Linked DNA regions of Arabidopsis thaliana. The main gene of each other region encodes a partner of the protein of the gene in region 2 in a complex. Each region holds a gene or a part of one and is shown on either strand. Other genes may lie near its edges.

The links.
Region 1: MOS7 (region 2) and AT1G75340 share a complex: the UniProt entries of both Arabidopsis thaliana proteins name them as parts of the nuclear pore complex.

The regions. Positions count from the first base shown.
Region 1 is NC_003070.9:28,270,114-28,273,868, forward strand, and holds the start of AT1G75340 (Zinc finger C-x8-C-x5-C-x3-H type family protein), read right to left. Parts: upstream 1,969-3,755; 5' UTR 1,761-1,968; coding exon 1,723-1,760; intron 1,613-1,722; coding exon of another isoform or gene 1,553-1,612; intron 1,362-1,552; coding exon 1,184-1,361; intron 1,024-1,183; coding exon 929-1,023; intron 825-928; coding exon 729-824; intron 639-728; coding exon 545-638; intron 434-544; coding exon 216-433; intron 121-215; coding exon 43-120; intron 1-42. Other genes in the region: emb2184 (Ribosomal protein L31), read left to right, coding at 2,050-2,118, 2,209-2,574.
Region 2 is NC_003076.8:1,696,195-1,699,949, reverse strand, and holds the start of MOS7 (nuclear pore complex protein-like protein), read right to left. Parts: upstream 1,681-3,755; 5' UTR 1,586-1,680; coding exon 1,298-1,585; intron 972-1,297; coding exon 820-971; intron 695-819; coding exon 572-694; intron 324-571; coding exon 179-323; intron 52-178; coding exon 1-51. Other genes in the region: AT5G05670 (signal recognition particle binding protein), read left to right, coding at 2,416-2,557, 2,911-2,993, 3,152-3,238, 3,344-3,492, 3,618-3,749. UniProt on the Arabidopsis thaliana protein: Involved in the regulation of exportin-mediated nuclear protein export. Required for resistance mediated by multiple R proteins and for the appropriate nuclear accumulation of SNC1 and of the downstream defense signaling components EDS1 and NPR1.

The DNA of each region.
Region 1 (3,755 bases), on a different chromosome or scaffold from region 2:
ACACAAACTTGTTTGAATATGGAATATGGAGAAAGTTAGTACCTGACTCCACCAGCATTGGTATTGGGGAATGTAGTTTGTTGATTGAAGCTTGCAAAGGCATTCGGAGGTCCAGATGAACTATGTCGAGGAAAAATGGAAACCGAGAGTTAGTTTGAAGGCAACACAAACTTTTTGGGATATGAAAATTGGAGAAATCCCACAAAAGTTGATACCTGAGTCCACCCGCATTGGTATTGGAGAATGCAGTTTGTTGATTAAAGCCAGAGAATGCTGGAGAAGGGGAATTGATCTGACTGGACTGAGGGAAGATACTAGGAGTGGTTGCAGCAAACGGGCTTTGATTGGCGGTAACAGAGCCTTTGTATGGATTCCGTAGAAAGTTTTCAAACTCGGCTATTTTGGAATTTTGCAGATTCCTCTCCCTTTCAACCTATATAATGCACCATAATAAGCCAGGAAAAGAGGAAATCAACTTATGTCTTATCAGTATGAAATGAAAACCAGTGTAAAGTATAACAAACACAAGAAAGGTTAATCTCACAATCGACTGTAGAGGTATTCCTCGTTTAGCTTCTTCATATGCCACTGCACGTAGTTCTTCATAGCTGATATCACCGGTAACATCACATGGAAAACTAGAAGAAAAAAAAGATAGAAAAAATCAGACACGTTTATAAAGAATGGATAAAGATCAAGGATGCTAAACCAAATGAAGTAATACATACTATTTCCAGTGGCCGTAGCATGTGAGCTTCCACATGGGTCTCTCATTCTTAAAATCGTCTTGCATTACCCGCTTACACGCAGCAGGATCTGTGCATCTTTGTATAGTAACCAAGAGAGAAACAGTAAATTTCCAAAGAAACAAACGGCTAAAAGGATGATAATTGATAGAACAAGCATATGTAAACATATATACACTCACTTATGATCTGCCGGCTGCGTCTGTTTACCAGTCTGCTGTGTAGAAGCAGCAGCACCACCACCAGTAGGTGTAGAAGCCGTTCGTGACCAAGTATTCTGATTTGCAAAAGCATCATCATGTCACCATTCATTCAACAGGCAAAATGCTTTCGTTTCTTAAAGAAGATGCACCATTTTTCTCATCCAAAGCCGAACGATAACTTGCATTCTATCAAAGCAATACTTGCATCTTAAAAGAGGAAAAAAACAAATTGACCTGGAACTGATTCGGTCTGCTGGAACCACCACTTTGTACACCAAATCCAAAAGGGTTCGAACTATTTTGTTGCTGCTGCTGCTGTTGTTGTTGTTGGTTTTGTGTACCAAAGCCAAAGGGATTATTTGGCTTAGCTTGTTGTGGATGAAGAAATCTACAGTTTTCCCCATACCTACAACTGCAAAAACAGCACAAAGGACGATGAGTCCAATAATTACGTCTCTAAGCTTCTACTATCACTAATCATAACTTCCGAAGCAAATCAACCCTCATTAATGGCGGAAACGAAGATTAGAATCTATCAAAGTCAATAAACTGTATGATTCATTTAGATTTCAGCTCAATAGACATCGTTTTCTAACACATTACCACCTTCGCACATCGATTGATTTCAAATTAAACCCCAGAATATAGAACACGAAACCTAAACTTCAGCAATCGAAACAAACTTCAAAAACTCTTATAAAACAACAAATTGAATCAAAACAAAAACTAGAACAGATGAAGAAGAAGATGATGATGATGAAAAGAGTATTTACCTGCCACGCTGAAAGTTTCTACACAGTTCCTTCCTCATACTCGCAGCTAAAACCTTCGAACTGTGTACGTATGTGCGTATATATATATGTAGTTTTGCTTCTCTCGAGAAAAATGAAGAAGCGTTAGATTGACGAAGAGTGTATCAACAGAACAAAAGGAAGTCTCTATGTAAATTACCATATTACCCTTACATATCTTCAAAGTATTTAGGGTTATAAACGTAACTCCAATACACTTCATCATCCTCATTCTCTTATCCATCAATCGTTACTTCGTTTCTTCTCTATCACCAGGAAAAAAGAAGAAGATAGCTCCTGAAGACAAAAATGGCGGTTTCTCTCCCGAACTCGTTTCTTCAGATTAGCCCATGTGTTCCTTCTCTGCAATTAAGAAAGGTAAGCTCGAAATCGATTTCTCATTCTTCGTCTATTTCTCCTCCTTCCCCAAAATCACTAAATTTGTTTGTGTTTTTTTTTCAAAATTAGCCGGTGATGGCGGCAGTGAAAGGAGGAAAACAATCGGTGAGAAGAAGCAGCAATACGGTGGTTCAGATAACGTGTCGTAAGAAGGAATTGCATCCTGAATTCCACGAAGACGCAAAGGTTTACTGCAATGGAGAGCTGGTGATGACTACAGGAGGAACAAAGAAAGAGTATGTGGTTGATGTATGGTCAGGTAACCATCCGTTTTACCTCGGGAATCGTTCGGCTTTGATGGTTGATGCTGATCAAGTTGAGAAGTTTCGTAAGAGGTTCGCTGGGCTTTCTGAGATTATGGAGATTCCTGTGCTTAAAGGAGAAATCATTATGCCTACTAAGAAAAGTAAAGGTCCCAAAGGGAAGAAGAAATGATGAGTCTTTTCTGGTAAAGCTTATGTCTTTGAATTTGTTGTCTTTTCAATTGAAGTCGAGATACTGCTTAGGCTGTTAAAAATTGTATGTGAATTTTCTTCTGAATGCTATTGGTTATGCTTTCTTTAAGATCTATTTGGTTTCATTGAGAGTGAGACTAGGATCTCAGAGCAATGATACAAGTAGTAGCGAATCTCAAGGACAAATCTTTAGCTTGTGAGTTTGGCATGAATTTGTGATGGATAATAGATAGATATACACTGGTGAGAGAAACATAGCAACAATGCCTATGAAATGGTAATTGCAAATGAAAGAAAGGTTGTGGCTTTTGCCACATTTTGTGATAATCTTGGAAAGTTATGGCATGAGATTAATGACTAGTGTAGGTAGTTGTTGTTGATGTGTAAGTGGTGTGTTGATTAGTTGATTGAGATCATTTTTACATAGATTTATAAGATGTTGAACATGATGATCATGGTCTATGTAAGTGTCTGCTGAAGTTATCAGGCAAAACATTTGTCTTCTGACGACGAAGTGGCGTACTAATAGTGAGCAGATTCTTGAACTGTGGCCATGGCGTAGGAGTATGTTTTGCTTGAGAACATAAAAGAAAATTTTTGGCACTTGAAGTTGAAGATTCTGTGATCATGCCCAATTGTATACTACTACTGAATTTGTGTGACCAATATTGAACAGAAACAGAATACTCCAGCTCAATCAGAGGTTTTACCAATATCAAGCCAAACCAATATCAGGCCGTCTCAAGCCCATTTGAAGACAGTCGAATGTGTGGGCTATTTTAGGCCCATTTCCTCTCAGCTGGAGTCTTCTGCTTCTTAACTAAGCTACCAAAGTTTTCACTGAAGTTCAAAAGGAAAACCTGTGGGCTTTTTAATCCGTTAGTAAATTGGGTTTTGACATCTCTACATACTTCATATGCTGATCGATGCAGTTGAATCTGAATAATTGAGTTAAACTAAATTCATTCGTTGGTTGAAGTCTTAGATCCTTTCTTATCAATGATTTGCGATCTTGACTAAAATTGAGTCTTAAAATATTATCTTAAAGACTTTAGACACACAAAAAGAAGGTGTTTTAAGATAAACTAATGGTCTCCTGTTTCCTAGCATAAGATTGATGAAAGACGCTGTGTTGGGTTAGTTAAACTATATGTCTAACCA
Region 2 (3,755 bases):
CACAACGGGGCATAAGATATAAATTGAACCATCAGTGAATAATATAAAGACCTGCACCAATTGAAAGATTAGGTCAAGACCTAAACATGTAATCCTCAAGGCTCTATTTGACAAGACAACTAAACAAAATCACTGTCAGTTATCAAACAAGTGGAGCAAGAATTTGTACTGAACTTACAGTAAATCTATCCCACAGATGATCTCCTCCAAAACTGAAATCAGCAGGATAAATTGATGAAGCTGTTCTAGATCTTCCTGGCTCACCGGGCTGCAGATAATATTCTTGCTCTGGTAGCTCAGTATCTGAAGACAAATCGAAAAGCCTAGCATACAAATATCTTTTAGTAAGCTAAAAAGCTCTTAAATCAGGATTAAATAAAACGATTTGATTCTTTATAATGAGAGACTGGACCAGATGGTAACATAGTAAGTCATTGCATGGCAGAAACTAACAATCTACAACCTTAGGAACTGATTTTTTCTACAATTTCTCTAACATCTTTCCATAATGATATTGATCAATATATTGACATGTACATCCACCTTCACTATCAGCCGAAAAGATTGTTACCTGAAAACTGCATCCGAGGATAGAATTCCCAAATGGGTGTCACTATCAGGGTGCCACGATGCTTGTAGCAAGGTTATGGCACTGTCACTACTAGTATAGATTTCTGAACCAATAGAAACTACCCTGCAACACATAGATTATGAAGTGATAACGTATAAGCAGAAGGCCATTAATTTAAGCAAGATAACATCATAATCAAGATAACAATGAATATAAATGCATCTTATTAGGGTAACGTTAATCACTACCTGCAAATGACATTGTCTTCTATCACAGAAGCACGTCCAAATAGGTACATCACACATATCCCATCTGAGCCGGCAAGAAGTACAGCTGATCCAGACTTATTGATGGAGATTTTGCTAACAGAAAATGTCACCTGAAGGTCTGGTTGCATCACCTATAATATCATTTATTAGTAAAGCTTAGTCAATCACTACATGATGAATCAATCACCTATAATTTATCTTATGTAGCAAAGACAACAGAGGAAAACTAAAGGTTTTTGACAGTAGTACATAGCAAGTAGAAAAGATCTTCCTATTATCATCCATCAGTAAGAAATCTAATTTCTCAAACTCTTCCTAAACCTAATTTCTCAAAGTCAGTAAAATGTCAGCACTAAAAAAGAGCTTTCGATAAATCTTCTTTTCAATACTCATTTTGGCCGACTTAGCGGTGAAAACAGAAAGAGAGAGAGAGAGAGAGAGAGAGAGAGTAAATGACCTTGGACGGGACTGCGGCGAGGACGGAGGATGGTTCAGGTTCACCCAAGCGCAGAGATAATCGGTGAAGGAGATATCGTCTCGAATCCCAGTAGTATACGCGCGAGTCTCCGTCCCAAGCCATGAAATTTCTCGGAAACAGCTGCGACACGGCGGGTTCATCTTGGGAGGAAGGAAGAGAAGCGAAAACCGGGTGGCTCTGGAGAGGAACCCACCTAACCGGCTCTTTGGGCGTCGGAGATCGTCGTGAATCTGGTGCATCCTCTGTCTCGTTAAAGTTAAATTTCATACTTTCTTCACTCGAGTGTATCTGTTTTCGTCGGAAGGAGATGCAGACACAGACACCAGATTCACGGCGGGAAGAGAAGGGAGAAAAGAAGCGATGAAGCAGATACAGTTGAAACGACTTCGTATTGACGTTTAATGGGCTTTTATTCGGCCCATTAACTATCTTCGAAACAAATTGAAATGAAGAAGCACTAACTGGTTTTAATATATAAAATTAAATCTGAACCCTAAATCATCGTCGCCGTGTTCTTCTCCGCTTCCACCGTCGTTGTATTCGTCTTCCGCCTCCTCTCCCATCGGTGCGTTTCTATCTCTTCCACCAAATGGATTCATTTACTCTTGGGTAAATTTTAGCTCTTGTTTGTCTATATTCATTATCTGGAATTTTAGAGGAATCTGTTTGTATTTTTTTACATCTCGTTGAAACAGCGCATCAATGTAGGATTAGCATTTATCTTTTCATAACTTGGGATGATCGTGTATGGGTCTACGGGTTGTATTGATCTGGTAAAACTGGTTTTAAATTGGGATAAACAAATTGTGTTCCTTGTTCACAAGATGATTATTGTCACTGTACTGGGTTTATCACAAGGATGAACATGATAATGTGAGAACCAGTATTGATATAATGTTTGCAAATATTAGAGAGTTCCGATTTCAATTTTTGTTTTCAGGAAGCAGTTTTAAATTATTCCCATGCATGTTGTTTGTGTAGGAGAAGAGAGTTTTCTAGTTAACTCTAGGTTATTTTTATGTCTTAAGAGGAATGAATTACATCTCTGGATGCAGGTTTTGAACAGCTTGGCAGAAGAAGTGAAACTTGAGAGAGTAATGGAGAACTTGGAAGATCTGAAAATTCTGGCTGAGCAGTGGTCGCATCAAGGAATTGAATATCTTCAGAAGATACCACCGAATCAGCTGTATGCCGCCATTGGTGTTTTGTTGTTTACAACCATCTTGCTCTTCCTATCCAGTATGTATTAGACACCACTTTGTTGTTTCTTAATCCTTTCCTAGTAGAATTGCTTTATTTATGTAAGATCTCCCCCTGGTAGTATCTTGTTTGCCATTGATAAGGACATATAGCCTGTTCTTCTTCTAAATGTCTTCAATTACTTTTCTTCTGCCTGCTATTGTTTACAACTGCAGAGGTTATAGTTCTCATGGTACCATTTTAGACTTGTGATTAAGCCAGAGTATTTTGTGTATTGGAATTAGAACTATTATTGCAATTTCTGAGGTTTATTCATGATTTTTCTTTGATTATACATAAACAAACTTTTGATCTTTTGTTGCTAAACTTGTTGTTCTTGCTGGGGTATGCAGTTCGCCTGGTCAGACGTACCAAATCCAACACTGTACTCCTTTCTGGGCTGACCGGAAGTGGAAAGACTGTGCTCTTTTACCAAGTGAGTGTTTTGGCTTGACGTTACCTTTTTCATATGAATATTGTTTATGACTTTCCTTCAAATGTACTTTTTTTTTGTAATGTGTCACTATTGTGAGTCAGTGTGAGTGACTAGGTCATTGTTGGAGAGTTATAACACGATAATTGTTTGATTGGCAGCTCCGAGATGGATCGTCGCATCAGGGCACTGTAACATCAATGGAACCAAATGAAGGCACTTTTGTTCTTCACAGTGAAAATACTAAGGTAAAGAATCTTACTGTGTTCTGTTGTAAACAACACGTGCAGTTGATTGTGATGGATGGAATAACATATTACTAAACCATGTCCCGTGCTTGCTCTTTGTGACAGAAAGGAAAAATCAAGCCTGTTCATCTTGTTGATGTTCCTGGGCACTCTCGGCTTCGACCCAAGCTAGAAGAATTCTTGCCCCAAGCAGCTGCCATTGTGTTCGTAGTGGATGCCTTGGAGTTCCTCCCAAACTGTCGTGCAGCTTCAGAGTAATTTCAAACACCCTCTCTCTTCCACACACACGCATTGTAAGACACAGATAAGAGACATGTTTGCATATGTTTGCATCTCAATGTTGAAAATGAGGCATTGCCATGGTTTTTTATGGTGATAGGTACCTATACGAGATTCTGACCAATGCGAATGTTGTCAAGAAGAAGATTCCAGTCCTCCTTTGCTGTAACAAGACCGATAAACTCACTGCACACACCAAGGAGTTTATCCGGAAGCAAATGGAGAAAGAAATGTAAGA